Linked DNA regions of Tamandua tetradactyla. The protein of the gene in region 4 purifies or fractionates together with the protein of the main gene of each other region. This does not show direct contact. Links are inferred from orthologs where the notes say so. Each region holds a gene or a part of one and is shown on either strand. Other genes may lie near its edges.

Region 1 (7,767 bases), on a different chromosome or scaffold from region 4:
TGTATTTCCCTAATAACTAATTATGTTGAACACGTTTTCATGTGCTTGTTGGCAATGTGTATATTTTATTTGTTAAAATGTCTATGCAAGTGATTTGCCCATTTTTTAAACTGGGTTATTTGTTTTGTTATTATCGTTGTTGTAATCTGTTGCACATATCTGGATACCAGACCCTCATCAGCTATAGTGTGCAAATATTTTCTCCCATTCCATGATTTGTCTTTTCACTTTCTCCATAATGTCCTCTGATTTTAAAAAAAAAAAGCTTTTAATTTTAATGAAGTCAAATTTATCTTTTGTTGCTGGTGCTTTTGGTGTCAGATTCTGAGTTCATGAAAATTCACCCCCATGTATTCTTTATTAAATGTTTTAGCTCTTATGTTTAGGACTTTATGAGGCAAGGATCCAATTTCATTCTTTTGATGTCGCTATTCAGTTGTCTTACTACTATTTGTTGAAAAGACTACTATTTTCCCACTGAATGGTCTTGGAACACCTGTTGAAAATCAATTGACCAATTGACCATGTGCACATAGATTTATTTCTGGACAACCAGTTCTATTCCTTTGGTCTATCTTTATGCCAGATCCCCACTTTTTTGATTACCATTGCTTTGCAGTATGTTTTGAAATTGGGAAGTTATGCGTCCTCCTGCTTTGTTCTTATTTTTCAATATTATTTGGCTATTCTGAGTCCCTTAAAACTCCGTATGAATTTTTAAATTAGCTGGCCAATTTCTACAAAGAAGTGGCTGCGATTCTGATAGGGAGTACATTGGACCCATAGATCAATTGGGGAAGTATTGCCATCTTAAGAATATTAAGTTTTCCAATCAATAAATGGGAGATGTTTCCCCATTCATTAAGAGTGCCCTAAGTTTCTGTTAACAATGCTTTTTAGTTTTCAGAGTATAAAATTTTCACTTCTTCTATGAACTTTATTCCTATGCATCTTATTCTTTTTATGCTATTTATAATTAGAATTGTTTTCTTAATTTCATTTTTGGATATTTAATCACTATCATATATACATACAATTGATGTTTGAATATTATCTTGTATTCTGCAACTTTCCTTAACTCATTTAGTTGTTTCAGTATTTTTAATGGAGTAATTGGGAATTTCTATGTAGAAGATCATGTCATCTGCAAATAAAAATATTTTTACTTCTTACTTCCCAGTTGCGTATCTTTTATTTATTTTCCTTTCTTGCCAGTACAATATTAAATAGAAGTGTAGAAAGTGGAAATTTCTTGTTCCTGATCTTAGAAGGAAAGCATTTAGTCTTTCACCAGTAAGTGTGATATGGTTGTGTTGTTTTCACTGATGTCTTTATCTGGCTGAGGAAGGTCCCATCGGTTCCTAGTTTACTGCGAGCTTTTATCATGAAAGTGTGTTGTATTTTGGCAGATATCTTTTCATGTTTTTTGATATTAACTTTTGTATTTTATTCTATTTATATGGTACATATATTCATTGCTTTGTGGATTTTAAACCCACTTTGTATTCCTGGGATAAATCCCACTTGATTATGGTGAATAAACCCTTTTATATAGTGCTGGATTCAGTTTGCTAGTTATTTGTGGAGAAGATTTGCATCTCTACTCATAAAGTTTTATTTTCTTGTGATGACTTTGTCTGGTTTTGGTATTACGGTATTACGTGCCTCATAGAATAAGTTGGGAAGTGCTCCCTCCTTTTCTATGTTTTGCAAGAATTTTTTAAGAATTAGTATTAATTCTTCTAATATTTCATAGAATTCATAACAAAAGTCATCTGGGCCTGGTCTCTTTCTTGTGGCTAATTTTTAAAATTACTATTTCAACTCTTTTACTTCTTTACTTGTAATAGATGTATTCAGATTTTCTCCTTCTTGTTGAATAAGTTTAAATAGTATCATTCTAAGAATTTGTTCATCTTAGTTATTTAATTTTTGGTATATCATTGTATACGGTATTCACTTATAACCTGTTTTATTTCTGTAAGCTCAGGAGTGATGCCCCCTCCCTTATTCCTGATCTTGGCAATTTGAGTATTCTCTCTCTTTTTTTTTTCTTGGTCAGTCTGGCGTAAGGTTTGCCAATTTTGATGATTATTTGAAAGATACAACTTTTGGGTCTTGTTTCTTTAAGGGTTTTTGTTTGCTTTTCTTTTCCCAATGACTTAAAATGGAAGATAAAGTTACTGATTTAAGATTATTCTTCTTTTTGAATGTAGATGCTTACAGCTACAAATTTCCCTCTCCATACTGACTTAGCTGCATCCCATAGGTTTTTATGTATCATGCCTTCACTTGAATTCATCTGAAAGTATTTTCTAATTTTCCTGTGATTTCTTTGACATATTATTTAGTAGTAATTAGTGTTGTTTGATTTCCACATATATGTGACTTTCCAAAATTTATTTGTTATTGATTTCCAATTTCACTCCATTTTTATTAGAGAATATACTTTGTAAGATTTAAATCACTTTAAATTCGTTGAGACTTATTTTACAGTCTAGTATATAGTCTAATCTGGAGAATGGTCCACGTGCAGTTGAGAAGAATTCGAGTCCTGTTGTTGTCGGATGGAGTGTTCTATAGATAAATGTTAGGTCTAATTTGTTTATAGTTTTGTGCACATCTCCTATTTCCTTCTACCTAGTTGATATAGCCATTATGGAAAGTGGCAACATTGAAGCCTTGAACTACTATTGTTGAATTGTTTATTCCTCCCTTCTATTTTGCCAGTTTTTGCTGCATGTATTTCAGAGTTCTGTCATTAGGTGCACGTATGTTTTTAATTGTTATATCCTTCTGTTGGATTGGCCCTTTTATAATTTACAAAATCCCTCTTTATTTCTATTAACATTTTTTATTAATATTATTAGCCACTCCAGTTTCTTATGGTTGCCATTCGTGCATCTTACTTTTGATCTATTTATATTGTTTTATCTAAAGTGTGTCTCCTGTAGAAAGTATATAGTTAGCTATTGTTTCTTTATCCAGTCTGAAAATTTCTGTCTTTTGACTAGATTGTTCAATCTATGCTCATTTAAAACTATTACTGATATAGTTGGATTTGCACCTGACATTTTTTCTGTATTCATGTCTTCTTTTTCCCTCGATTCTTCTTTCACTGCTTTCTTTTCCTTTAAGTGACTATTTTCTAGTGTAACACCTTAATTCCTTTTATGATTTTTGCGTTGCTTTTGATCCATTTTCTTAGTGTCTGTCCCAGCATTTACCAAATTCATCTTAATTTGTTAGAATCTACTTCAGATTTATACTGCGTTAGTTCCAATGAAACACAGAAACTTTATCCCTATGTGGCTTTATTCCCTCTGCTTGGGTTTGCCAGTGCTGCTACGACACCACAAAATGTGTCGGCTCAACAACAGGGATTTATTGGCTCCTAGTTTGGAAGACAGAAATCTAACATGATGGTATCGGCAGGACTTGCTTCTTCCCACAGCTTGTAGCATTCGGGCAATCCCCTGCCACATGGCGATGTCTCTCTTTCTGTCTCTTGCTCTTGAGTCTGCCTCTCTGACTTTCACTGATTTTTGGTTCTACACCCATGTCCAGTAACCTTTACTTACTAGGATTTCAGCTATATTAATTCAAGCCTGCCATCACTCAGTTTGGGTATACCCTAACTCATCATAACGTCTTCAGCGGTCCTATTACAAACGGGCTCATGCCCCAAAGCACGGGTTATGTCGCGAACTTGTCTTTCGTGGGGCACCTGATTCTATCCCCAACACTCGTCTCCCTCTTCATGCTAGTATTGGTATACATACCACACAAACATTTCCACATGAAGACATTCAGTGTGCAAAAACAATCTATGACACCTGTCACCTAAAATGTTTGAATAATTCTATCTTTGAACCTGTGTTTTGTAAATTGGGTCCAACGGGACAATATGCAAATAAATGCATACATGAAATAGTATTTGCTAACAGGTACTATGCAGAAAAGGAGGCCAGCGTCGAGAGCAAGTCAAAAGGGGGCTGTCATCCTTGTAAGCAGCGGCAAGTACTTTGGATTTTAGGGTTTCGAACCGAGGAGTAACAAGATATGGTAAACGTTTTTGAAAAATCACTCAGGTTGTTTAACAAGGAATAGACTGGAGAGGCAGGAGCGAGGCCGGCCTATTGCAGCGGCCCAGGCAGAGAAGCTTCCGATTCTGGACGGATCCTCAAGACAGCGCAGCCAGGACTTGCCGAGGGCGTGGAAGGGGGGCGTGCGGGACGGGGAATGCTGCGGAAAACGCAGGTTTGGGGGAAAGTTACAAACACTGGATTTTGAACCCTTGCGTTCGCGACGCCTATTGGGCCCCCGGGCGGCGACCTCAAGCAGGCGGCAGCACGTCCGGGGCCGGCGCTGGACCACCTCCCGGGCACCGACGCGCGCGGGGCCTTGCGCAGAGGGACAGCGCGGGCTCGTCCACACCCGCGCGGCCGCGCAGGCGTCACCGCCTTCGGTCTACGCGTGAAGATTCAAAAGAAGCGCCTCACTGTGCCTCCAGAGCAACCTCCGATGCGGGTTTAGTGTCGGCGTTATCTGTCTTCCTCCGCACAGGGCCGCTTCCCAGCAGTCCGCGCGCGCGGACAGAGCTGCCCCGCTGGCCGGTTCGGCGGCGGACTCCGCGCGGGGCCAGGCAGGTCCTCCAGACCACCGAGACGGCCGGCCAGAGCGGCGGCAACCCTTCGCGGCCGGGGCGACGTCTGACGAAACTGCGACGCGCCTGCTGCGGACGGCGCCGGCGTCCTTGGACGTCATCGCGGGCGCGACGCCCCTCGGGACAGTCTGGGGTCTGGGTTTCGGAAGGGGTGGCGGTGGCACCGGTGGGGAAGATGCCAGTGGCGGTGATGGCGGAAGGGGGCTTCAGTTTCAAGAAGTTGCTGGATCAGTGCGAGAATCAGGAGCTCGAGGTAGCGATTCGCGTCGGACTGGGGGAAGCCGTGGAGTCGCCCCGGGCCGGGAGCGGCGCTGGTCTCCAGGGTAACAGGGCCTGCGGCGGGCTGGGCGCCGGAGCTGGGCGTGTGGAGCCCGGGCCCCCGAGCCACCCGAGTTCCTTTCCAAGGGTAGCGCGGCGTGGACGCTAGGTCCCTGTCCCACCCTCTCCCTGCCGACCGCTCTCAGAAACTCTCTCCACCTGTCAGGGCCTTGGCCCTCCGCCGTCCGGCAGGTGGCTTTTTTGTTTTAGGCTTGTAAACTGACATTTTCCCCGACGCCACTTTGCTTGCTTGCCCATCCTCAGTGAAACAACGAGCATTAAATTTGACTGGTGGGGTGTACTTTGAATATTTTCGGTTTGCGTCCAAATTAGCTAAGTTAAATACGGTTTGGGCCTACATCAATTTATTTGTACACAGATAAAATGTTTTAGTTGTCTCTGTTGTCAGTTGTTGTTTGTTTTTCCCGGTCTGTAATGTGCACCCATTTGTGAATCCATTAGGAGCTGTACTTTTAGAAATGCGTTCCATGTGATTTTGTGCTTTCCAAAGTGTGGGTTAGTGTTTCTTAATTAACTCTTTTTTGTTGTTGTTGTTTTTACCTATTTGTCTTCAGCTGTTAGCTCTAATAACGAATGCATCTTTGCTCCTACCATCCACCAGTATGCTTCTCATTCTGTTTAGACTAGATAGTTTTTTTTTCTTTCCTTCTTCGTGTCTAGAGGGAGGGGGAATGAGGATTTTATTTAAGACAGTTGTGCAGGCGCGCGTGCACGCACACACTTACACATACACAAACCAGGAAAGATGTGACCACTGCAGCCTTTTCTTAACTCAGAAAGTCCTTCTTAATCTCATAATATCAAGTAGGTCTGTAGTTTTGTATGTAAGAAGACAGATGTAAGTTATATTGTGCAGCTATTAAAGCTTATTTTTTAAAGATTTTCTTAGAAGCGTGCTTAAAACATTTAAAAATTGGTATAAAAAGATGATTAAAGAAGACATTAATCAGAGGTAGCATCTCACTACTAGTAGGCAATTAACAGCTGTTTTCTGGATTAATTAAAATTGAATGGGGAGAAAAGTCTTTGTAACTCAGTTGCAATGTTTTTCTGTCCCTTGCTGTTTACTTAGCTATTCAGTGTATTTGATATCATGGGCAGAACCGTAATGCTTTAGGACTCTATTGAAAATGTTTGTTTTTTATAATAGTAAGATTCCTTAAATGAGTATTTGAGAATTGGGAAAGCAGCACTATTTAGTAACTGTATGTGTAAAGTATAAAGTAACTGAGGCCCGGGGAAGATAAATCATAGTTGATGGCAGATCTAAACTTAATATTCAGGTTTTCAACTTTTCTAAGGTGATTTTACATACATGATAGTAAGTGCTATAATAAAATCAGCTTACTTTTTATATTAATGTTAATAAAGTATTATTCTATAAGTGTATAAAAATAAATAAAAATTTTCTGTTTCACTTTTGGTCTTTAGGCTCCTGGAGGTATTGCTACACCCCCAGTGTACGGTCAGCTTCTAGCTCTCTATTTGCTCCATAATGACATGTAAGTACTTTTTACCTAAAGCTAAGAGCAGCAGTTTCCTCAGAGTTATACAGAAATTGTTCTTGCGTTGAAGTAGCACCACTAAGTCAGACCTCATGTACCTTTTTCATATTGAATGGTAACTTAATGAATTATGATTAGACTGAGTTATTTTTAATTAGTTTTTTTACATATACCCTCTAAAAACATTTCAGTTTGACAGTAAATTTTGTTACACATTTACTTCAATTGACCTTTTTTTTTTTGCCTTTGTTTTCTTATTTCTAACTTTCTTATGACCTCTGTTGACTTCACATGTAATCAGTAATCCTAGAGAAGGTGTAAGGAGAGATTGTTTGAGAAAGCTAAGAGTAGTGAATGAATGAAGAATGAGGTTTCTTAAAAGTCCTTTGTTTTTAATTATTCCTAATGTTCATTAGAAAAAAGTCAGAAAGCACAACTGTACAGGAGGATAGGAGTCTCTTACAGTTTTACAACCCATAGATGATTACTGATGACATTTGCTTTAAATTCCTCCAAACCTTTTTCTTTTCCTATCTTTTTACATACTAAATTGAAATGTGTATTGCACATGTATTATGCAATTTTTTTCCCAGTTCTTGGTTTGCCACAGCTTTAGTTCCTGGCACTTTAGGGTGTTTAGCTGTAAATCTCTTACCAAGAGCCACTTCCACTAGTTTTCCCAGCTGGCTTTGCTGTTCTGGGTCCTCATTCCACTGCCCGGACCCTCTTAATGTCACTCACTGACATCCCTCTCTAACCCCGGGCCCAGGTTTAATCAGACTGGACAGCTTTGCAGAGTAAATTATCTGTTTCACATTTTATAATTCTGTCCTCTTGTGTTGTTCAAGTTTACAAACCCTTAAAAACCCTGCCTTTAATTCCTCTGGTAGGAGGGATTATAGCAAGGAGAAAAGCATTGTATAACATAAGTTTGGTTATTTTTATGCCTGAATTAATTTGGGCAATTCTTGTTTTAGTCTTTGTGTTTTTAGTGTACCGTAGCCATAAGTTAGTACCTGGATCATTAATAAAAATTCACTAAAAATGGTAAAATGTTAACTTTTGATGAAAGTATTTTTTGTCTCCTTATGTGGAGACGTGTATATAAAATAAATTCCACTCTGTATAATACAGAGTGTTTTAAGTATACTTCTGTGTTTTCATATCGAAACAAAATTTAAACATTTATTAAGATGACTGTTTTTGTAATTGATTATTCTTTTTATGGGGGGGTGTAAATTAGGAATAATGCAAGAT
Region 2 (7,796 bases), on a different chromosome or scaffold from region 4:
CCAGTACGTCTCAAGAGTGCCAGACCACGCGGCCTTTCTGAAAAGCCCTCAGCAAGTGTAACTAGAACCTAAAGAATCATTATATTCTGACATCTGGTGATTTCACTCCCAAAAATTTATACCAAGAAAATAACTGGTATTGAAAGATGCATGAACTCAGGATGTTCATGCTGGCATTATATAATACAGTGAAAAAATGCAAATAACTGACGTGTCCACCGTTAGGGGTATGAGTGAGTAAATTATGAGCTGTCTACAGGATGGACTGTTACCCAGTTTCTAAAAAGGATGCTCATGAAGAGAATTTAATGGTACGGGGAAATGCTTAGACTTCATAAGTAAGTTAAGCAAAAGTAGCATGGTTAAAAAAAAAAAATGTATTAGGCATGATCCCAACTGAAAAAAAAAACGCATAGAGAAAGGGATTGGAAGAAATAACTACTTGGGTAGTAGACCAATTAGGTCATTTTTAATTTTCCTCTTCATATTTTTCCACATTTTCAAATTTTATCTAACAATCATGTATTTGCTCCTATAATCAGAAAAAGCAATAAATCTTTTCCAAAATGTCTGGGTATCCTGGTGTGGAGACACTGATCCCAAGCAGATGTGAGGGCGGCCAGGAAAGCAAGCAAAGCCGCTTCACTTCCCTGTCACCTGCAAGGGCCAAAGACTCCTACTCTACTTGGCTCTCATATTCCCTGGTTGAATATTCCACGCTGGATTCAAACCGCAGCCACCATTCCATTGTTGCGACAGTGTCAGATTCAGAACAGGCAGTGCAGGGCCAAGACAGGATGCTCCTTTCCCAACGGCACTGTCCAGTGACTTGTCTGCCCGGTCTCATCATTTCAGGATGGGACCCACCTGGAGGACACAGTGTTTCCTCCTGTAGCCATATAAACATAGCTCACTGTATTCAGTTAGATAGCTTAAAAAGAAAAGGACTGTATGGTGTGTGAATATATCTCAATAAAACTGCATTCAATTAAAAAAAAACAGAAAAGAAGGGATCATTAGCATGAATCTAGGAATTTATAAATGTTTTGGATAATGGGAAGGGAAAAAAGAGGACATAGATACAATGTTGATCAAAGTTATTAAAATTAAATCCCTGAAGAATCATACTCAATGATTATTAATTAATTCAAATGACCCTTTATTTAATGTGCTTGGTAGGTGCTAGGCATTAGATTAGGCACCTTTCACCCCTGCAGTAATATCTTTGATGGAGAGAAAGAGTCAGGGGCTTAGAAGGAGCACATTAGCCCTGGAGAGACCCAGGCTCAGAGAGGGCTCCTGCTCCACCTTTTACAGATTGTGGCCCTGGAGGAAGTTATTTCATTTCACTGATTTAACCTACCTAATGGAGTAGGCTCTAAGGACTAAATGAGACAGAGCTAGTAAAGCTCTTAGCACAATGGTTGGCATGGAGGTAAATCTCCAAGAACATAAAAGAGGGCAAGCAACTTGAGTCCTTGTAGATCTAGAACTAAAACTATTTCTATTAAGATGTAGAGCTAACCTCTCACCCCACCATTTATAAATACTTGCTCTACATCTCATTTTATTTCCTTTGAATCAAATAAATATTATAGGAGGGAGAAAAAGATAACCTGTTCTATCAATTTCCAAAGATATAGACATCACTAGTGTAATATAAGTGAGATAATACAAGGAAATTTGCAAATTATTATACAAACTATGATTACTGGTATATAAATTTTCACCTCAATTGACAAAAAATCTCCAAATTTCTAAAGATGTCACTACAACAATTATTCGCCTTTAAAATACAGCTTTGACAGCATATCTCTAAATCTACTGCCTTTCCTAGATTGCATGTATTTTAAAAATCTAAACTTTTTGTGCCACCAGTTTTTTCTACGACAATGTTTAGTATCTTAACTATCTGAGGGTTCCTTCATTTTTCAGGAATTCCCAATCCCAGTCCCAATATTTCTATAATTTCCAATTTTTTTCATTGATCACAATAAATAAGAAAGTAACCTTAGGCCTTTTTCTGTACAATTCTCTGATTTGTCTTTACAGGAAGGTAAAACAGTCAGTCATTGGAAAGCCCTAACGAACAGGCTTTACTCTGAATAACTGCAGGAAATCTATCAAACTTTCCCAAGAGAATTTCTTTAAAAGGCCAAAGATTCTGATATACTGAAAGGCTTACATATTGAAAGTATTTCTGGCAAATGAAACACCCGGGTTCTGACCAACATCCTTGGCCAAAACCCTCTCCTTTAATTAAGAAAAACAAGGGTTTGGTTGGCAAAAAAATTTGTGCAAAATACTCAAGTGCGGACAGTCTCCTCTCAGTTTTTCCTTAAGCTTTCATTAAAATCTTCATTTAAAGCTTCGAAGGCTCACCCATGGTTTGCATTTCCTAATCAGTTCTTGATAAGAAATACCTCGGCCGCCGTGGTGGATTGAGAAACGATGACTAATTTATGAGGCATTTAAACTGCTGAAGTTCTCTTTTTAACAAACACGGCGTTTCCTGGGTGGTATTTGCAATTACTGGAGGAAAAGAAGGAAGTCCTGCTGGGGTCACCTGTATGACCCCCATTGACTTACTCTTCATCCTTAACCAATTTGGAACCTGAACAGTAGACGACCGCGATTTCCGGGGACGGGGACTTTTAGGGATTAAATGGAGCAGGCTGGTGGGAAATACAAGTCCCTAGAGACGGAAAAGGAGGCCAGCGCTCTGCCTCCCAGGAACTCCGGATTCCGCCGGATCCGCGTCTGCGAAGACCAGACGTGGCTACGCGGTTCTGAAACTTCTATGAATGTGAGGGGGAAAACCCGCCAAACAAGCAGGCGCAGGTCCCACATGGCAGCGCAGAGGCAAAAGAGTGGCTAGATTCCTTCGGTTATTCACTCGGCGGTTCCGCCTCTACGAGGGCAGGGCGTGGGTTCCCAGCTCCAGCTGGGCTGTACTTACCAAGACTAGCGAGCAACTTCTCCAGCCTTCATTGCTGGGAGCCATACGCCTAGTTTACTTTCAGATTTAGCTAGGTGTTACCCATAATGCACTTGTAAAAGGGAAATGCAAAAAAGGTTGCTAGCTGATAAAATTCTTGCAAAACTATTTTAAAAAGAGTAATTTTGTTTTATTTTCACTGAATTTAGTCGGAAACTATTACGTATTTTTCCTGTCAAGATTGTGAAATAGGTCATGAAAAGTGTCCTTACTTAGAAAAGAGTTCAAAAAGGAACTATAAATAGGCAGAGATTAACAGTTTGTATCGGTTGGTCCGAGGGTTGTGGGTTATTGTTAATCTGTTTAGCATTGTCTCCCCCCACAACCACGCTTGACTAACTGTCGTTTTTTGCCATAGAGCTAACAGCAGCAGTTGGTAGGATTTGTACGAAGATAATTGAGATGTATGTGAAAGTAATCTTCATGTGACAGTTTGAATAGGAGAGTATTTTTGAAGTTGCCTATACTTCAAATGAACCTTCAGCGTTCTGAGAAGATAAAAGATTTTTACTCTTATAATGGTTAATTTGATATTATACAGGAATGCACTTCTCATTTAGGAGAAAAGAGGGAAAAACAAGTTGAAGAAGGTCCCTTTCAAATATGCGTATAGCGTGCTCATGAATCTGCGTGTTACATAGAAAAGATCTGGAAGATGTATACCAAATTGCTAAGTGTTTAACAAGGGAGTGGGATTTCAGAGGAAGGCATTTAAAGAAATATTTATAGGTTAAAAAAAAAGATACAGCAAGTTTGTTCTATTAATTCAGTCATTAATTATGTTCTATAATTCAGTCATTCAGTAGGTGTGGATGAACGTGTTTTCCATAAATTTGGTTTTTTATATAGTTTCACATATAAAATACATAGGTTCACAGATCAGGGTCAATTTAAAACCATGTACATCAGTTTAAGCTCTGTGGTAAGACTTACTGATTCCAGTATTAATCCACCATTTTCTGTCTTTAGTTGTCAAGCAGTGGTCATCTCTTTGGTTTAGTCACCACGGTAGTTAGACTTTACATTTAGACTCAAATCATGAGGTTTCAACACAAGGCTTTCATATTAGCAAATAAACTTGACTCTTTTGTTGAGAAATATGCACCCTCTGTTATAAGTTTGCTCCATTTAAGAAAAACAAAGAGTCTTGAAAAAATTTGGAAGAAAGGCTCTACTTTCATTAAATCTTGATAGATGAAAATGGTGTTGTTTGTTAACAAGCATTATTCTTAGCTGGAGAAGTTGTATAGCTTGCATTTGCAGGCTGGTGGGAGCTCACTGAAAACAGGTAGTTTGTGTCATTTGTCTTTAGTAAAGTTAATACATAAATTAACTCCTGAATTAAAAGACATTAAGAAACAAAATGCTAGAAATGTCAGAATACCAGGATCTTGTTCAATGATAGTCACTTAAATGTTTCAAATTACAAAAAAGTAAATAAATAATTCTATCAGAGGTGAAGTCCACCGTAAAAGAAATGGACTAGAACTAAACTTTTTACCTAGGTAATTTCAATCCATTACTCAGGCACAAGAGTGACGATGATTAAGATCCTATGTTCTTTGTGTCAAATAAGTTTTTCACAAAGATATCTGTATCACAGAAAAAAACTGTAACATTCTTATAAAAAGATGACGAATTTTTAAACAATCACACACACATATTTAGACATATATAAAGAGAAAAAGAGAAATCTGGAAATGAGTGTTATCATTCAGCCTTGCCACTTGAGGGGATTATGCAATGATCCCTGCCTATCGCTATTTACCCCCTTGTGTAATCCCCTCTCCTTGGGGGTGACCTGAATTTTTTGACTCATCTCTAAGAAATTGAATAAGACTAAAGTAATGGGATATTATCACCAAGGTTAGTTTTAAAAAAAAAAAAAAAAGACTGTAAATTCTGCCTTGAGTTCTCTGTCTCTGTCTCTTTGAGTCTCTCTTTCTTTCTTTCTCATCCCTTCCTCTGAGGAAGCTGCCACTGAAGACAGCAGTATGGAGAGGCCACACCCAGTGAGGCCCTAGGCCCAGCAACTGCCACATAGAGTTAGAAGCAGATTTTTCCCCAGTTGAATCTTGAGATGGCTGCAGCCCCAGCCAATACGTTCATCTCAGCCTTGTGAGAGACCCTGAGCCTGAGGACCTGGATAAGCCGCCCTGGATTCCTGACTCACAGTCACTACTGAGAAATTAAATGTTTGTTGTCTTTAATCGCTCCCTGTTGGGTTATTTTGTTATGCAGCAATAGATAACTGATATATGCATTTGATCCAAAGGCGCTGCCATTGCTTAAGCGTATTTGCAAGGCTTCTCTTTTGGAAGTGTGCTTCAGAGAAAATGGGCCATCGTTACTTTAATCACACCCGTTTTTCCCAAGAATGTACTTCCCAGCTTGCTCGCATTATACTCACCATCTTTGGCTTTGAAGGACATCAGGCTATTTTAAAAAGCAAATCTATCTTCAAAAAAGGAAGATTTGCTGCCATGGGTAATATTATGGAAGAACATGTACAGCTTCTGAAGGCAATTTTATTTGGTTTCAAATATATTTTAAAGATTTTTTTTATTAAAGCAGCTGTAGGTTTACTAGAACTTTATGCAGCAAGGATAGAGTTTCCATACAACTCCCTCGGCCCCACCACCACCACCACACACCACACAGTTTTCCCTATTGTTAACATTTGGCATTAGTGTGGTACTGGTTTTGATACCAACAAAAGACAGTTTCTCTGCTTGGTGTGCATAACAGCTAATCCATGACACCAGGGTTTCAAAGGGAGAAAAAGCATATTAGTAAGGGAGAAGCAGGAGATCAAATGGCCTATCAACCCCAAAATCTCTCTCTCCCAATCTAAGGAGTTCAGGATTTTTATGGATTCAAACAAGGGGAGATGGAATTATTACCATTATGATATCAAATATAAATAGGGTTCAGACCAGGCTAGAATAACCATTACAGTAGTAGCTATAAATAAGAGTGGGACTAGTTTGAGTTTCAGTAATGTCAGGTATTAACGTTAGGTTAGTCTACAAAAGAAAATACGGTTCTCTATATAATGATCCAGTAATCATAATCATTTATTAATTCTTAACATTTTGATTACAGTTTCACATATATTTTGACCAATAGCTACATCATTGGAATAGTTCTTCCAAAAAGAATAATACTTACTTTGGATATTCAATGCCCAGAGTATCTAATGAATGTGTTGTGCTGTGTTTATTTACTATTTAGCAAATGTATGACACTTGTTACTGATGATAATCTATGCCTAGGTTTTATAGATGAGGAAACAGAGACAGGACTTGCCCAAGGGTGCGCCACTAGCAAGTAGACTAGCAGGCAGTCTGGTTTCAGGGTCCATGCATTTTACTATAAAGCTATTCTGACCACATTGGTTTAAAATTAATCACTTTGTTTTATAGTTGTATTTCATACAATAACAAACTCAAGACAACAATAAATGTTGCATGCTTAATATTCATTGTAGTAAAATTTCATCTCTGTAGTCAAATAAAAAACAAATCCAGGTTTGGTAAGGGAAGATTTTATTCAAAAGGATCATTGCAAAGTATGAATGGGGTTATTGCAATAGAGAGAAGGGCCTGTAGTAAGGGGGAGACCTCTCTGACCATCAAGAATTAGGCAAAATGAGTCTTTCTATTATACAGAGGAAAGAAACCAGGTGTAGGGTAGTGGGATGAAAGGATGACGTGGTCAGATAATAGATTAGAGAATATTTTATGCTTTGAATCAGCCTATTTTCTGGGAGGTTCCTTTAGAGTTCAGGTATCTGGAGGAAGAAGAGAAGTTTAACCCAGGTTTGCTTAGTAAACTTTGTTCTGATTGATCATTTTGATCTGATAGATCAGTGGAGATAAGCAATTCAGCTAGCCATTTATGAGGTATTTTAGATTGTTAATGCTGCCAGAATACAGTATACCAGAAATGGAATAGCTTTTATAAAGGGAATTCATTAAGTTACAAGTTCACAGTTCTAAGGCCATGAAAATGTCCAAATTAAAGCATCAACAAGAGTTTACTTTCACTCAGGAGAGGCTGATGTTGTTTGCAACACTTAGTCAGCTGGAAAGGCAGATAGCTGGCATCTGCTGGTCCTTATTCCTGGTTCTGTTGCTTCCACTTCTGATGACAGTGTTTTTTCTCTAAGCATCTGTTGGACTTCACTCAGTTCCTCCATGACACAACTCTGTATTCTGCCTTGCTTAGCATCTCATGGGAAGGCACATGGCAACGTCTCCTGGGATCTACCAGTGCCTAGGCATCCGTGTCTCTGTCAGCTCTGAAACAACTGTTCTCCAAGAGTCTGCATCTGCATTTCCAAGTGTCTGTGTCTGCGCCTGCATCTGAGACTTCTTCAAAATGTTTTCCCCTTTAAAGGACTACAGTAAACCAATCAAGAACCACCTTGAATGGGTGGAGTCACACCTCCATCTAATCAAAAGATCACACCCACAAGTGGGCATGTCACATCTCCCTGGAGATAATCTAAAAAAAACCTTTCTGCCTACAGTATTGAATCAGGATTTAAAGAAATGGCTGATCCCACAAAATTGTATCAGGATTAAAACATGGCTTTTCTGGGGTACATAATAGTTTCAAACCAGTACATGAAGCAAAGAATGGGTATGTGGAAGGTCTGTGTCTGTCCTTGTCATGGGTAAACTGGGGGGGGAGGGGGGTAGCATCCATAAGTGTAAGGACCCAGTGTCTGGACCCCATCCTCTCCAGTATTTTGTGAGCAAGTCACTTATCTGCCTACATGACCAGGCCAGAC
Region 3 (7,467 bases), on a different chromosome or scaffold from region 4:
TAATGCATAAGAATAACCTCCAGGATAACCTCTCAACTCTGTTTGGAATCTCTCAGCCATTGACACTTTTTTGTCTCATTTCACTCTTCTCCCTTTTGGTTGAGAAGGTTTTCTCAATCCCCTGATGCTGAGTCTCAGCTCATTCTAGAGGTTTTCTCAATCCCTTGATGCTGAGTCTCAGCTCATTCCAGGATTTCTGTCCCACATTGCCAGGAAGATCCACACCCTTGGAAGTCATGTCCCATGTAGATAGGGGGAGGGTGGTGAGTTTGCTTGTTGTGTTGGCTGGAGAGAGAGGCCACATCTGAGCAACAAAAAAGGCTCTCTTGGGGGTGACTCTTAGGCCTAAATTTTAAGTAGACTTGACCTATCCTTTGTGGGGTTAAATTTCATATGAACAAACCCCAAGACTGGGGGCTCAGCCTATAGCTTTGGTTGTCTGCACTGCTTATGAGACTATCAAGAATTCAACTTGGGGGAATTGAATTTCTCCCCATTTTCCCCATTCCCCGAAGGGGACTTTGCAAATACTTTTCCACTCACTGATCGAAGAACTCTGGGATTCATCCAGGCATCACTCTGGACAAACCAACAAAATCTCATGTCTTACCTGAGATTCCAAGTACTTATGCTGTTCAATCAAACTATCTACATAAGTTATATTAGGAATTGCACTAGTCAAAATACAAATTTTGAACCAAATAAACATTTTTTTTGCTTTAGTCTCACACATAAGGTGACATTTTAAAATATTAATTACCATCTATTTTCAGCACCCTGCAATAATGACATTCCTTTATTCTTCCTCATGCAAAAACATTTTTAAAATTTGTACATTTAGGCACTATTATTATACACTCTAGGCATTCCTAGATTATACCATCTCAATCTTTAACATCTATCTTTCTTTCTGATTTTATTTATGTCCCCAGCCCTCCTCCCTCTACACTCAGATGAGTAAAACATATAGATTAAAAATAAACAATAGGGGGACCAAATGGTAAAATTAAAAAATATATATTGGATAGATGGAAATACTAGTGATCAGTGAGAAGGAGGGGAAAGGGGTATGGTATGTATAAGTTTCTTCTTTTTTCTTTTTATTTCTTTTTCTGCAGCGATGCAAACATTCTAAGAAATGATTACAGTGATGAATATACAACTATGTGATGATATTGTGAGCCACTGATTGTACACCATGTATAGAATGTTTGTATGTTAAGAATGTATGTGCTGCCGGCCGGCGCCACCGAGGTTAAACCCACGGAGGTGGTGTCGGGCGGCGGGGGCGATAGCCCTCTTGCTGACCTCAGTGGCAATGGCCGTGTTTCACGACGAGGTGGAGATCGAGGACTTCCAGTATGACGAAGACTTGGAGACGTATTTCTACCCCTGCCCATGTGGGGATAACTTCGCCATCACCAAGGAAGATTTGGAGAATGGGGAAGACGTGGCAACGTGCCCTAGCTGCTCTCTCATTATAAAAGTGATTTATGACAAAGATCAGTTTATGTGTGGAGAAACAATCCCAGCACCTTCTACCAACAAAGAATTAGTTAAGTGCTAAAGAAGGCTATAAGAATTCAAATCTCGAACTACCGAGAATGAACTAAGATGGAAAAATCAAATGCAAGGTTACAGACCTCTTCACAAGGACAACCTTTTTTTGTGGTTTGTTGTTCTGTTAGATTGTGGATTCTTTCATCAACTGCTACGTTCACCTTCAATTAAAGAAGCAACCCACAGCATGACATACCTGGATTTCAGGTATAAAACTTTGAATTGCAAGTGTTCTTAAGTTTCCATCCAAATTTTTAAAAAGGTGTTGATATTATGTTAACTCCTGCTGATGTTGAATTTCAAACAAGAACAGACACCCTTGAAGTAGGTCTATTATGAGCTCAGAATAATGGGAAGAAAAGTTGCCAGAGTTGAAACACCCCAGGAAAAAAGAAGCGTAAACGACACTAGGCAATCAGTGATGGGTGGTGAACTGCAATAGTCCGAAAGATTTTGTTTCCACAGAACTAAATCACCAAATATATTTGTGAACTACAAAAGGACCATCAGAATTCAATCTAATGTTAAACAAAGTAAAACCAGGGTCTTTTTATGTATGACTAGAGTTCCATGTGATATATGTGCCTTATTTAGCCCAACAGATATTTTTGGAACCTTCCTAAGAAGCAATTTGTAGGCTAGGCTCTGCTTCTTACTAGCTTTTGTAATCTTTGACAATACCAGTGGATTCCTATCTGTATAATTAGTTGATAGGATCAAATGATTACTGAATTGTCAATTCTATAATGTCAGATTTGGTAGCCTGCAGGTACTGAAATGGCATCTGAAATCTTTATAAATTCAAACTATCTAAATCATGATTTATAGCTAAAGAGACTACTTTTCAAAAATTTCATGTTACCGCACTTGGATTGGAAAATTATGAAGGACAGCTGTTTAAATGGTTCTACAAAAGACTTTAGTATACACCTCCAGTGTACACCTCCTTGGAAAGCACCCAACATTTTTTGATAACTGTACATACTAATTTATTACCATGATAAACTATTGGTATGCTAAATAAAGTCAGATAAATCAAAAAAAAAAAGAATGTATGTGCTTGTATGTTGCTGTTATTAATAAAAATTAAAAAAAAAAAAGAAGTATGTCCTTTATTCTTTTAGGGTAGGTCTGTTTTTCAGTAATCTCAGTTGTTTGATATTTTCTTCATTTTATCTTTACCCCTAAATGATAATTTATCTGTGCATAAAATCTTAGTTTCACACTTTTGTTCCTCAGCATTTTAAGGCTAACAGTCCATTGTTTTTGCTGTTCTGGTCCAAATTTTGTATCAGACTAATTGCTATTATTTCATAAGAAATTTTCTATTTTATACTTGCTTCTCCCAGTTGCCCTGGGGTTCTATCAGCTCTGGAGAATTTTATATTAACTTTTTCCTTTGGTTGGTTCCTGTACTCTGCAAATTGTAAAACTGAACCTTAAATCCCGAGTGCAGGTCCACAGTTAGGAATTCTGAGGGATTTATTATTTATCTATTCCTTTATTTATTTACATCTACATCCCACCTCAAGGAGCTCAGGGGCTGAGAGAAAAGTTTCATTGTTCCTTCCCAGGACAGGTGTATTTTTCGTATTCTGCGCTTTTACATTTTTACTGAGCAAGTAGTTCTTCAAAGGTCTCAGTTTTAAAAAGGGTGGGGAGAAGGTGTTCCCATTTAGGCCACTTAGTGAAGAAGGTCCAAGGCCTTGTCTCTTGACTTTTAGTGGCTTTTAAAGGCACTTAACCAGACCTACAACCTCCTCTCTTGGCTCCTCAGTCCTGACATCATCTCAAACTCATTGCTGGGTGATTTAGTTTCCTGTTCATTTTTTGGCCCCTGCAGATTTCTCTTATTTTTCTGAGAGTTCAGCTACAAACTTAAAAGAATGCTTGCAATGAGTTGGCAGCATTTCCAGGTGTTTTATTCTCAGGTTTGTGCCTGCTACCATGCCTCACATCCTTTCTTTGCACAGGTCACAATATTTTCGATTAGGATTTGCTTTCTTTTACACCAATCATATCCTTCTGAAACTACAACCCTATACTAACCTTGATTTAACTCGGTTATTTCTCAACTCTCCCCAGTCGCACATTAACAGACTATTTCTTAGGTTGGGTCAAATCTGCAGATGACCTAAACTGAGGCTCTTTAACTTTATTTTCAAGGAGAGAAAATCATCAGCTTTGAGCGCGTCCCAATCATAGAACTGTATTTAAGAATACTTAAAATTATAAAAGTAGCAAATATTCTTTGTTTAAAAATAGCAAACCCTCATTTTAAAAGTAAGGAAACTAACTGGAATCCCGAGGAGGGAAATATGTGGACATATTTATTGAAAGAAAGCAGGTTGAAAAATTGTTTATTAAAACCCCGCTATAAATCCCCTCTATTACCCATGCTTTCTTGGCTTGAAAGGGTTCTGGCATTTTCTTTCTGCTGTATGGGATTGCTGCACCAGTTGACTAAGCAATTTAAAATTCAGAGGTTGGGTAATCGGAAAGAAAGTTGCTACAATGCCGATAATGACATTTGGCTTTTGATGGGACCTGCAAAATAAGAAAAAATACACGGCCATCGGCAGCTGGATCTATCAATAAAGCTTGTGAACTTGAAACGCGAGGAACCTGCTACCTGCCGAGACCGAGGCTGCCTCTGGAAACCAGGAACCAATACCGCATCTACAAGGTTGGTCTTGGAGCTTGGAGAAGGGGGAGCCATAGGTTGTAAAGAAGGATTCGGCGAGCAGGCAGCAACGGAACAGCCAACCCGGAGGGCAGGGAGAACGCTCCGGGACAGGCCGCGAGGTGCGCCTGCGCACACCGCGCAGCGGACTGGGGGGGCGGAGCATGGGGGCAGTCAATGAGCCTGCGCAAACGGCGCGGCGAAGTGGGGGAGGGCGGCCCGTGTGTGTCTGTGTTGTTGTTCGGCGGCAGCGGCGGCGGCGGTAAGATGGCTGCCCACGGGGGCTCCGCGGCGTCCTCGGCGCTGAAGGGGTTAATTCAGCAGTTCACGGCCATCACCGGTAAGAGACGCGGTTACCGGAAGGTTGAGAGTGGGGTCCGGAGTGGGCGTCGCGTCTGCCCCGTGCTTTCCCCTACCTTCCTGCATTCCTCCCTTGGGTTTTACTCACAGCTACTGTCCTCCCTCTTGAGGAAGAGGCGACGTCGGTGGGGTCTCCGGGTTAGGCGGGAGACAGACGTCCCCTTTTACCCCCCTTCTCGTTCCCTGTACCCTTGTTCTCGGTTTCCTTGCAGTGTGGAGGGAGACCTCTAACCTATTGCCAGCCCAGTCCAGGCGAATGGGCCGAACTCATCCGCCCCCGCCGGCCCGGGGACCTGGGGGCGGGAGGAGTGGGGGGCCGCACCCGGGCCACCGCCCTCCTCCTCCTTCATCATCTCTTGTCTGTGCAGGCTTCGGATAGAGTGTATCACCTCACCTCCTTTCTCCTTTCTTCCCGGGCCGGGTCATTCGCTCCCGCGTCCCTGGCCTGCCCTTCCCCTTTCTGGGCCCCTCCGAGCCATCGCCATGGCCTTGGTGTGTTCGGGCCCTCCCGCCTTAACGGCGATGCTGGTGGGTTCGGCAGCGCCTTTCCAGATCCCCGGGGATAGGCCGCCAGAAAGAGGGCTGCTGAGGAGTAACCTTAGGGCCTGGGGTTTTAAGAGAAGAGTGAGGGGGGAATCCCCCTCTCTCCAAACTGGATTCTGGAGGCCTGGACGGATACTGGGAGGCGTTTCCCACCTCCCCATAATAAAATCATAAAGACCCGAGTAGATGGCGCCGGGGCCTCCTGCTGCTAAAATAGGGATGGCGGCGGAAACTTCTCGGAGAGGGAACCTGTTTCTGGGTGTCAGTATCCCCAAACCCAAGGCCCAGGATTTCCTGTTTTTTTGGACCCCTGTGAAGGGCACACGAGATCTTCTTTCAGCCTGGAGAAAAGGCCCTGTGCCATTCTGTGAATTCCCTGTGTCTTGTTTCTCTCTGATGGTGCTGAACTTTTTTTGCATGAGTTATTAGAGGGCGGAGCAAATGATGAAGTTCTCTGTGGAGTGATTTGAGAGAAGAGTAGTCCATGTGCCTGAGTGTGGTTTTGCCGTTCTCGTTTGTTATTTTAGAAGGAGGTTAGAATATTAGTTCTTTCCTTTAGTAGTTACATATTTAATCTGGTCATTTGTTAGATGCAGAGAATATTTAACGTCCTCAGAGTTTATCATGCAATATCTGGTTAGATAAAATTTTGTCTTAACCATTACAGATTGTGTGGAAGTTACCGTTTTATAATTAAAACTAGTTTTATTTTTTACTCTGTGGTTAAAACTAGATGTTCGATGCATTATCTAGCTTGTGGGCGTGAAACACCACGTCAGAGTTGGTAAAGTAAAATTTGTAATGGCGTTGAGGTGGGGAATGGGATAATATTTTTCATAATTTTTTTAAAATCTTTTGCTATATATTAAAATGTTATGCATTTCCCAGTATCTAAATCTTTGTTATGGGGAATCTTTGAAAAGTATTGTGTATGTAAGTTAACATTGCTGCATATGTTTATATAGAAAAATCCTTGTAGAGAATCAGATATAGAAGTGAATATCCATTATTAATCTTTCCTTTAGAATGCCTAGTGATTTAATTTAAAGTCCCACTTATTTAATTTCAGTTTATGTTAACCCCTTCAGAAATTCAGATTGCCTTAACCTCACGTTGTCTTCTAATTCAACATTTTTGTTAGAGTTAGAAATCAAAGTGTGCCAAATGGATTTGACTGAGTTTAGCTTTTCTGTTTCTGTCAGTCTTCATTGCTTGTTTCTTGGTCATAGGCCTTTCTATTCTTAAATCAAATTGGCATCCCTCAGTAGACAGTGGTTATATGGAAATCTACAAAAGGGAAAATATCTTAGATTGTTCTTAATGTGTTGTGAATTTCTATTAATAATTTTGGGGATTCTTTTTATAAGATAATGATTAACCATTAGAAACACAGGATTGAACCTATTCAGCCTTTTTTCCACATATTTTACAAATACATTTTGGTGTTATCTCTCCTGGTATATATTTGAAATTGTTGTGCTTATGATATAAAGGTATTTTTTTCATTGCTGTATGAATCAGACTGATCTTAAGCACTTATGCTCTGATTTCAGAAAGATTTTTTTATATTTGGAAGCTCATTAATTTGATAAAAGCACTGCATCTTCAAAAATGCTATCAATCTACCAATATGGCATTTAGAAATAGAAGAGAAAATTTTAAGATTTCTTGTAAAGTCTTATTTCTTACTAAATAGAACAAATTTCTATAATACTTGAGTTTGAAATAATGAATCTGATTTAAGAAAATTATTAAAAAGATATCATGACACATGAAATAATTTTGAAAAAAGGGGGCAAAAACTAAACCTCCACTGTCACAACAGCAGTATTATTTATTTTACATTATGTTCCAATTCTTTTTCATATACTTATGTCTACATTCTGGATCCTGTTGTACATAATTTAGAACTCTGAATTTTTTCAGTTAGTATTACATCATAAAACATTTTTTCCATGATTAGTCTTTAATAGAGTAGTTAACAAAACGTTGTTCTCTGAATCACATTGAAAAGCTGTCTACCTCTACCATTGATGCCTTCAGAGTCATTTAAACCTACGTAAGATCAGTCCTGTTACTTTATAGTCATTTATTTTATGATATTATTCCACTTGATATCTCTTGATATTCATAATACATGACTTTGAATGACTTCTTTCAGAAGTCATGTCAGTTCTCAAAGCATGAAGAAAGAATGTGCTGCTGGATCTGAAGGTAATTCCAAAGCAGCAGTTTTAAAAATATTTTTTAACCATGACAGTATCCCATTAACACAAACTTGGGCTGACACCCAACCATATATACAAAATGCACAAATGTGG
Region 4 (7,729 bases):
ATGAATGCTCACCAGAGTGTGAGTTCATTCAGCAAAGGAAGACTTTAATAATCAAATGGATAAGATGATCCATTCTGTGGAAACCAATTGGCCTCTTTCCACAGCTACTGCTGTCATTGCCCAATGGGCTCATAGTATGGTGGTAGGGATGAGGTTATGGATGGGCTCAGCAACATGGATTTTCACTCACCAAGGCTGACCTGGCTATGGCCACTGCTGCATGTCCGATCTCTTAGCAGCAGAGACCAACACTCTGTCCTCAATTTGGCCCATTCCCAAGGTGATCTGCCTGATAGCAGGTTGATTACATTGGACCACTTCCATCATGGAAGAGGTAGCGTGTGGTACCTGGAATAGACACATACTCTGGATAGGCATTTGCCTTCCCTGCATACAATGCTTCTGGCAAAACTACCGTTCATGGACTTATAGAATGCCTTATCCTCCATCATGGTATTCTATACAGCATTGCTTCTGATAAAGGAACATATACACAGCAAATGAAGTGAAGAAATGGGCCCATGCTCATGGAGTTCACTGGTCTTACCATGTAACCCTTCATGTTAAGGCAGCTGGATTGATAGAATCATGGAATGGCCTTTTGAAGACTCATTTACAGCACCAGTTAGGAATACCAATGGCCCAGAAACTTCAGGAATAACACTTTGCTCATCCCACCAAGCAATGAGTCAGAACCAGCTGAGATGCTTCCCTCAGGGTAAGGGTTATTTGGAAATGGTAGTAGAAGAAGCTAGTGATAAATACAGACTATGACCACATGACCAGTTACAGAAATGAGGAATATCACAGTTATGAATATTTCTTCCTTGTCTTGTTATATTTCCACATGAACATAAAGTAAATATAATTGTTGTCTTCCCTATCTTATCCCCTTATCACACAACAAAAGTTGTATTAGTTTCATGTTGTTATATTTACATGAATATACCCAAGGGCTTCCACCATATTCTGGAGAGAGTTAGTGTGTTTCCAGTTGTATGCAGGACAAGTGAGCATTGTTAGGCAAAAATATGACTGATATTAATTGTTATTTAGTGATTAAGTCTGATTTATGTTGATCTGTATGGCTGCCGGTTCATGTGTCAACTTGGCCAGTTGATGGTGTCCAGTTGTTTGGTCAAGCAAGCACTGGCCTGTGAGGACATTTTGTGGACTTAAGTCATCAGTAAGTTGATTACATCTATGTCTGATTACATCTACAATCAACCAAAAAGAGTGCCTTCAGCAATGAGAGAAGTCTCATCCTATCAGTTGAAGGCTTTAAAAGAAGTGATGATTTCAGCAGTCAGGACGGAGAATTTCCATGTCTTTGGCAGCTGGCCAGCTTCTCTTGGGGAATTCATCAAAAACCTTCAACACAGTTCCCAGCTTGCAGCCTGACTTATGGAATTTGGACGTGCAAATTCCAACAATCACATGAAACAATTTCTATAAATATCTCATATTTTCAGGTTATCTTCTGTTGATTCTGTTTCTCTAGAGAACCCTGTCTAATACACCTACTATGCCTCTTGGATGTTTCAAAAGCACCTCAAATTCAACATTTCCAAAACCAAACTCTTTCTTCCTTCCCAACCCCCTAAAACTGAAGCAAAAACTTGATCCTCTCCCAGGATTCTCTATGTCAGTGAATATCACTATCATCTATCCACTTGTACAAGCCAGAAATCATGGAATCATCCTTACTACGTCCTCTCCCTCATGTCTATGTCCAACCCATCCTGAAACCCTATCAATTTTACCTACCAAAATCTCCTCAAACTTGCTTCTACTCTCTTGATCTCTGCCAGTCCCACCATCTCTAAGATATCTGCATTTACACCAGGAGTATAGTAATTGCCTTCTAATTGAGCTCCCTACTTTGACTTTTGCCACTAATCTGCTGCTTTTTACAATCAAAGTGGTCTTTTACAAAACCCAGATTTGCATATTTAATTTTTTCAATTGTTCTTATTGTTTTTAGGGTTGCAATGTGTACACAGGGCCCCTCAAGAGCAAATTAGAAAAAGGCATGATACTTGAAGCAGAAAAATTGCAAAAGAAAGAGTGTCCTCTTGGGTACGGTTAGTTAAAAAAAAAAGTCACCCCTTTGGACAGACCAGTTACAAAAGCTTGTCTTTCTCTTGCTTTAGGACACAAGGCTAGGTTAACTAGCTGGATTTCATTTCCCCACTCCTACCTGTTCAGTCAAACACGCTGGTGCAGGGCACATTCTGCAGAACCATACATAGTGAACAATAGGGTCTCTGTTGATGCCAATTACAATGCCCAGAGACAAGGCCTTGGTCCTATCGGGTCTTCTAAAAATTCCATGCACAGGGTTGAGAGGTCATGTTTAAACTCAGAGGCCTAAAGCAGGCTCTTATGACAGCAGCATTTCCTCCCCACCTTTCACTGCTCCAAGAGACAAGCCCCTTAATTCCCTAAGATCTGATGTTTATGTCATAGGAGCTCAGAAAAGGGAGGGCAGATTGAAAAGGATATGTGAATTTGACTGAAAATGTCAAAAATTTGGTACTACACGCCTATCAAAATGGCTAAAATGCAAAAATTGTGACTCAAACACCAAATACTAAATAGGGTGCAGAAAAATTGCATCAACTCATACACTGATGGTGGGACTATAAAAGTTTAAAAGTTTACAGATTTAAATAACATTCTTGAAACAACAAAATTATAAAAATGAAGAACAGAATGGAGTTACTAGGGGTTCAAGAGGGAGGGGAGAGAAGGAATGTGGGAGTGGCTATAATATGTATTTGTACAGAATTTATATTTGTGTTGATAGTAAAGTTTTAGAAATGGAGGGTGGTAATGGTAGCACAACATTAACAGCACTGAATTATATATATGAATGTGGTTAAAAGGGGAAATTTTAGGTCATATATATGTTACTAGAATAAAAATTAAAAGATAAAACATAGGACTGTACAACCCTACTGAAAACTATGGACTATAGTTAATAGTACAATTATAAAGATATTCTTTTATAAATTATGACAAATATGCCACACTAATGCAAGGTGTTACTGATAGGGTGGTATAAGAGGAAAAATACACCTAATATAAATGATGGACTATAATTAATAATACAGTTATAATATTCTTTCACCAGTTGTAACAAAGATACCAAACTAATGCAAAGTGTTAATAATGGGGGGTGTACATAGGGATGCTGTATTTTTACATGATTTTTCTGTAAACCTACAACTTCTCTAATTAAAAATATTAAATAATAAAATAACATATGCAGTACTGAAGTAGAAATGCATATATGATTCAGAGTTTTCTAGTGGCCAAAGCAACAAAGGAAACAATAAATTACAAGTAGTAAATTTTATATGAAATAAATATGATTGTATACAAAACAGTCTGGGAGAAGCTCCTCCATGGACCCTCATACCAAGCATTATAGTGGGCAATGCTCTTCATGAAAAAAATACTGTATGCCTATTTTTATAGGATCTATTATTGTAAGCAGAGAGAACATACCTCCAAAGCAAACTTTATGGAAAGCAAATACTATATAAAATTAAACAACATAAGCAAAAATAAAAAGGGACATTAATTAAGAAGGATCCTTGCATTGATGGAACTGTCCTGTATCTTAATAGTAGCAATGCCAATATCCTGATTGTGATATTGTACTACAGTTTTGCAAGATGTCACCATTGTGGGAAACTGGCTAGACGGTACAAGACAGCTCCTTGTATTATTTCTTACAACTGCGTCTGGATCTACAATTATCGCAAAATAAGAAGGATAAGTAAATTTTTAAATTTAAATAAAAATTAAAAGTTGCAAGTCAATAAAAGCCCATTCATAAAACTCTATTAACTTGAAGTCATAAAGTCACAATGAAAAATTGAATTTGCCTCTTTACAAATGGATCAGGGGCATCTATAACCTTGTTAATCGCAAAGTGTTGTTATTTTTTGTCTACTGAGATATTTACAAAAAGATGGCTAGCACCTTGATTGATTTTTATGAGTGTCATTGCTCTTGATATGATTATTTGTATATCACACTTCTATGCTGGGATAAATACATTTTTAAAAAATGTTAATGCCTCCTAAGTGAGATTGCAACTTAAATTTGGAGCAAACTATCTCTTTGTTCTGGAGAAAAACGAGTTCTCTACATGCCATTTCATAATGTAAATTCAACAGACATCATCAGATCCAACCCAGTTGAATGAAGCAACGACTGTAAATATTTTGGACTAGAATTTGTGGTCAGATGATAAACTATGTCTCTGAAGACTTTGTTGATCTTTGGGGAGAAATGGTTATCATTTTCCCCATACCTGTTTAGACAGATCCATGCCTGTATATCACTGTTTGTCGAATGAAGTTAAGTATGTTATTGTTCCGGCAATTGGTAGCATAAGACGAGGCGATGAGACAGAGAGGACTGCAGAAAACATAGTGTGAAAAGGAACTAGGCTAGTCTTGGCACAAGAACAACCCTGGCTTGCCTGCAGATGTCTCATAGGCGGTATTATCAAAGATAGAATAAACCAGACCTTAGAAATGTACCCATACCAGATCGTTTTGAGGTTTTGGTTTTTTGTATTTGGCACCAACAGGTGCCTGTTAGACAAGTGGGGTTACCCCTGAAATAATTGGTCAGATCTACTGTCAATCATCTTAGAAAACAATTAAGTGAACCGGAAATCGAGCCTCTGTGGGCGGAGCTTAGGTCGAAGGGCGACCTCAAGTTGTAAGGGTACTTGTTTGTGAACGGTCCTGGCTGATCCGTCAGGTTTTTAGAGATCGGACTTTTCATAGATCAACAATAAAGATGCCCTGTTGGTCCTCATGTGATGGTGAGCTAAGCACCCCTTTGAGATTGTGAAAGGCGGTTAGAGTACCGTTTAAGAACCAACTGAAAGTGGGTCTGGACTTGGGCCTACCGACTCTAAATGAAGCCATATCTTGAGGTATTTAAGTTATTCCCTATGTTGTATTTTCTTATGTTATTCCCAAATGTATAGTAGAAATACATTAAAAGATATAGTCTTTCTTCATCTGTGATGTGGAGAATTTAGGAAAAAGCCCAGTATAATCATTGTCATTAGTGGAGAAAGCACTATCCGGCAAAGTGGTGATAACAAGAGGTCCCTCAAGAACAGGGACAAAAGCGCTGAAGCCTGAGGAGGAAGAAAATTAGCGATCTGGTTCTGATCATATGTGGAGAACCCTTAGAAATAGTTTTGAGGGAAGTCTAATTTTTGGCATTCAAGCGGGGGTGGTGTGGAGGTCGGGGCTCAAGTCATTGTAGTTTGGGGATTTAAAAGGAAACGTTTGACTTTCAATTTGAGATGTCAGTCTGAACAAACGTGTTTTCCTCTTAAAATTATATTTAAATGAAAGAAAAAAATATAAGAATAGAGCCATAACTACAAGTGGTAACAGAGAAGGGTGATTAGCAGACTAAAATGTTGAGGATCATCTTGAAGATATGAAACCAATAGGATAAAACTGGTTGAGAAACCATAGTCAGTGAACTCATAACACCATATGGGAGAAGACTGCTTTAAAAGTGAATTCTCTGTTTTTTAATACAGCCCAAAAGACAGGATGTCACAGACATCTGGATCAGGGAATACGCGTGATGATGGGGAGATCCCAGAAGACAATGGTGAGTAAATCAACTAAGTAAAACCTAGAGTTAAGTCTAAATAATTGTTAACAGTATGTCCAGGAATCTTGAAGAAATTATTAAGAAATTATTCCTATGAAGATCAAGGCATAAAACAATAAGAATTTAATAACAAGGTGGAAATAAATTCCCCCAGACAGAGTAGGGATTACGGGATGGTGGTCAAGAAGGGCACTTCTGCTTTTGCTTTATAGTTGTTGTTTTACAGTGAGAATGAATTCATATACTATTTTGGCAAAACTTTTAAAGTTTCATAATACTTAGTTTGATGATATTGATAATAGTATAAAATTTTGCTAATATTAGTGTTATAATATAAAAGTTTGATAATATTAGTGGTGCTAAAGATGCGGGACAGTCAACAGTCATTCTGAAGTTGACCCGATTCCATTTCTTCAAAAAAATCCTTGGTAATACTTTCACACATGCACAAAGATATATGTTATAGCATGTTTATTGCAGCATGCTGGTAGTAGCAAAAAGGGAAATAACCAAATGTCCAAAAATAGGAGACTAGTTAAATGACATGTTGTATTTATTTACTATGAATTAGTATGCAAATTGTAAAAAAGAATGAGGTAAATTTCTAGGTACCGTCATGTAAAGATCTCCAATATACATTAAGTGAAAAAGGCAAATTGTAGATATATATGTATGGTATGATATCATTTATGCTTAAAAATACCAAAGCTAAAAAATAAAAAGAGACAGAGGTTTCCAGGGGTCTGGGACTCTAGCCTAGTACCTCTCTCCCTTCCTTCTTCTACTTGATGAAAACCTGATAGAGAAGCAGAGAAATGCTGTATCTGGGTTACAGATGAGTCTGTATAAGTCCTCTTTCTAGGTACCCTCCTGTGTGCTCTAGAGATTTTTTTTTTCCTCCACAGGAAAGCTAATTTAAATCTTTTTGTATTCTTTTATTTCATTACCATTTGTAAGCTGTAGATTACATTTGGGTAAATTTACTTAAAGTTTTAAATTCTTGTTATAGAGCAGGAAGCAAAATTAAAAGTCACCACTAAACATTCTCCATATTCCTGTTTTTATCACTCCATATATTATGGTGCAAGTATCAGCAATTTTTTTCTGTAATAAATTAGATAGGAAATATTTTATGCTTTGTGGGCCATATGGTCTCTGTCACAACTACTGAACTCTGTTGTTTTAAGAAAAAAGCAGCTTAGGAAATATGTAAATGAATGGGCATAGCTATGTTCTAATAACCCTTCATTTACAAAAACAGGCAATGGGTCAGATTTGGTAAACAGGTTTGCCAGCTTCTGCTCTAAAACTGGTAATAGTTTGCCAGCCACTGCTCTGTTTTATCTTGTTAGCTTGTGTCTTACTTCCCATGCTTTAGCCCCACAGCTCTTATATCCAAAGATGAGTCCAACTTGTAGATCCATTTCCTGAATCAGTCTGGCTCAAGATAAGAACTATTATTCAGAAGCCACAGCTCCAACAGTAGGCCTAGGAATTGCTATGCCAGACTTGAGACTGCGATGCTTCCTTGACATCTCTGTTTAGCTCTCTAGTTTCTGATTAGGAATGTAGCCAAGCACGGATAACTTGTCTCCTTGTAAATGCCTGCTTATTCTCTCACCTCAGGACTTTAACAGGCTGTCTTCCCTCCTTGTGCCCCCAGCTCCCTCCCTTGTCTGCCTAATTGCCACTCCTCCTTGGGATTTAGATTGAATTACTTTCTCTGGAAGTTATTCTTAACTCCCCACCCTCACATTTCCTCCACTCCATTCCACCTTCCTAGGATTCCCAGGTTTCCCTCCTCTTTGTTCTCATAGCAGTGGTTGTCAGCTCCATCCTGCATTTGTCTGCCTCACCTACTAGGCCAATTGAGAACTGTTTTCGGGCAAGGGTTGTCTTTGTATATTCAGTGATAGGATCATAAGGGTTCTCCAGCAAGATCTGCTCAGTGTTTGTCTGGCTGTGACCAGAAGAAGGAGCTGGTTTGTACCTCCTGTGAAGATGAGCCATTGACTGAGGGTCCAGCCCTGGAATGGACTGATTTCCTAGAACCAAATTGGCA

The links.
Region 1: the proteins of CUL4B (region 4) and COPS8 purify together in Homo sapiens (affinity purification with mass spectrometry; 7 studies listed by BioGRID and IntAct, counting the BioPlex papers as one, with this or other methods). This does not show direct contact. The link is inferred for Tamandua tetradactyla from reciprocal best matches to the Homo sapiens genes CUL4B and COPS8.
Region 2: the proteins of CUL4B (region 4) and EZH2 purify together in Homo sapiens (affinity purification with mass spectrometry; 4 studies listed by BioGRID and IntAct, with this or other methods). This does not show direct contact. The link is inferred for Tamandua tetradactyla from reciprocal best matches to the Homo sapiens genes CUL4B and EZH2.
Region 3: the proteins of CUL4B (region 4) and UBXN7 purify together in Homo sapiens (affinity purification with mass spectrometry; 3 studies listed by BioGRID and IntAct, with this or other methods). This does not show direct contact. The link is inferred for Tamandua tetradactyla from reciprocal best matches to the Homo sapiens genes CUL4B and UBXN7.

The regions. Positions count from the first base shown.
Region 1 is NC_135329.1:214,107,801-214,115,567, forward strand, and holds the start of COPS8 (COP9 signalosome complex subunit 8), read left to right. Parts: upstream 1-4,750; 5' UTR 4,751-4,841; coding exon 4,842-4,919; intron 4,920-4,993; exon of another isoform or gene 4,994-5,176; intron 5,177-6,436; coding exon 6,437-6,507; intron 6,508-7,753; coding exon 7,754-7,767. UniProt on the Homo sapiens protein: Component of the COP9 signalosome complex (CSN), a complex involved in various cellular and developmental processes.
Region 2 is NC_135327.1:193,080,219-193,088,014, forward strand, and holds the start of EZH2 (histone-lysine N-methyltransferase EZH2), read right to left. Parts: upstream 3,006-7,796; 5' UTR 3,005-3,005; coding exon 2,960-3,004; intron 1-2,959. UniProt on the Homo sapiens protein: Polycomb group (PcG) protein. Catalytic subunit of the PRC2/EED-EZH2 complex, which methylates 'Lys-9' (H3K9me) and 'Lys-27' (H3K27me) of histone H3, leading to transcriptional repression of the affected target gene.
Region 3 is NC_135336.1:17,370,484-17,377,950, forward strand, and holds the start of UBXN7 (UBX domain-containing protein 7), read left to right. Parts: upstream 1-4,454; 5' UTR 4,455-4,510; coding exon 4,511-4,583; intron 4,584-7,467. Other genes in the region: diphthamide biosynthesis protein 3, read left to right, coding at 1,319-1,567. UniProt on the Homo sapiens protein: Ubiquitin-binding adapter that links a subset of NEDD8-associated cullin ring ligases (CRLs) to the segregase VCP/p97, to regulate turnover of their ubiquitination substrates.
Region 4 is NC_135353.1:46,084,236-46,091,964, forward strand, and holds the start of CUL4B (cullin-4B), read left to right. Parts: upstream 1-4,709; 5' UTR 4,710-4,963; intron 4,964-5,590; 5' UTR 5,591-5,603; coding exon 5,604-5,664; intron 5,665-7,729.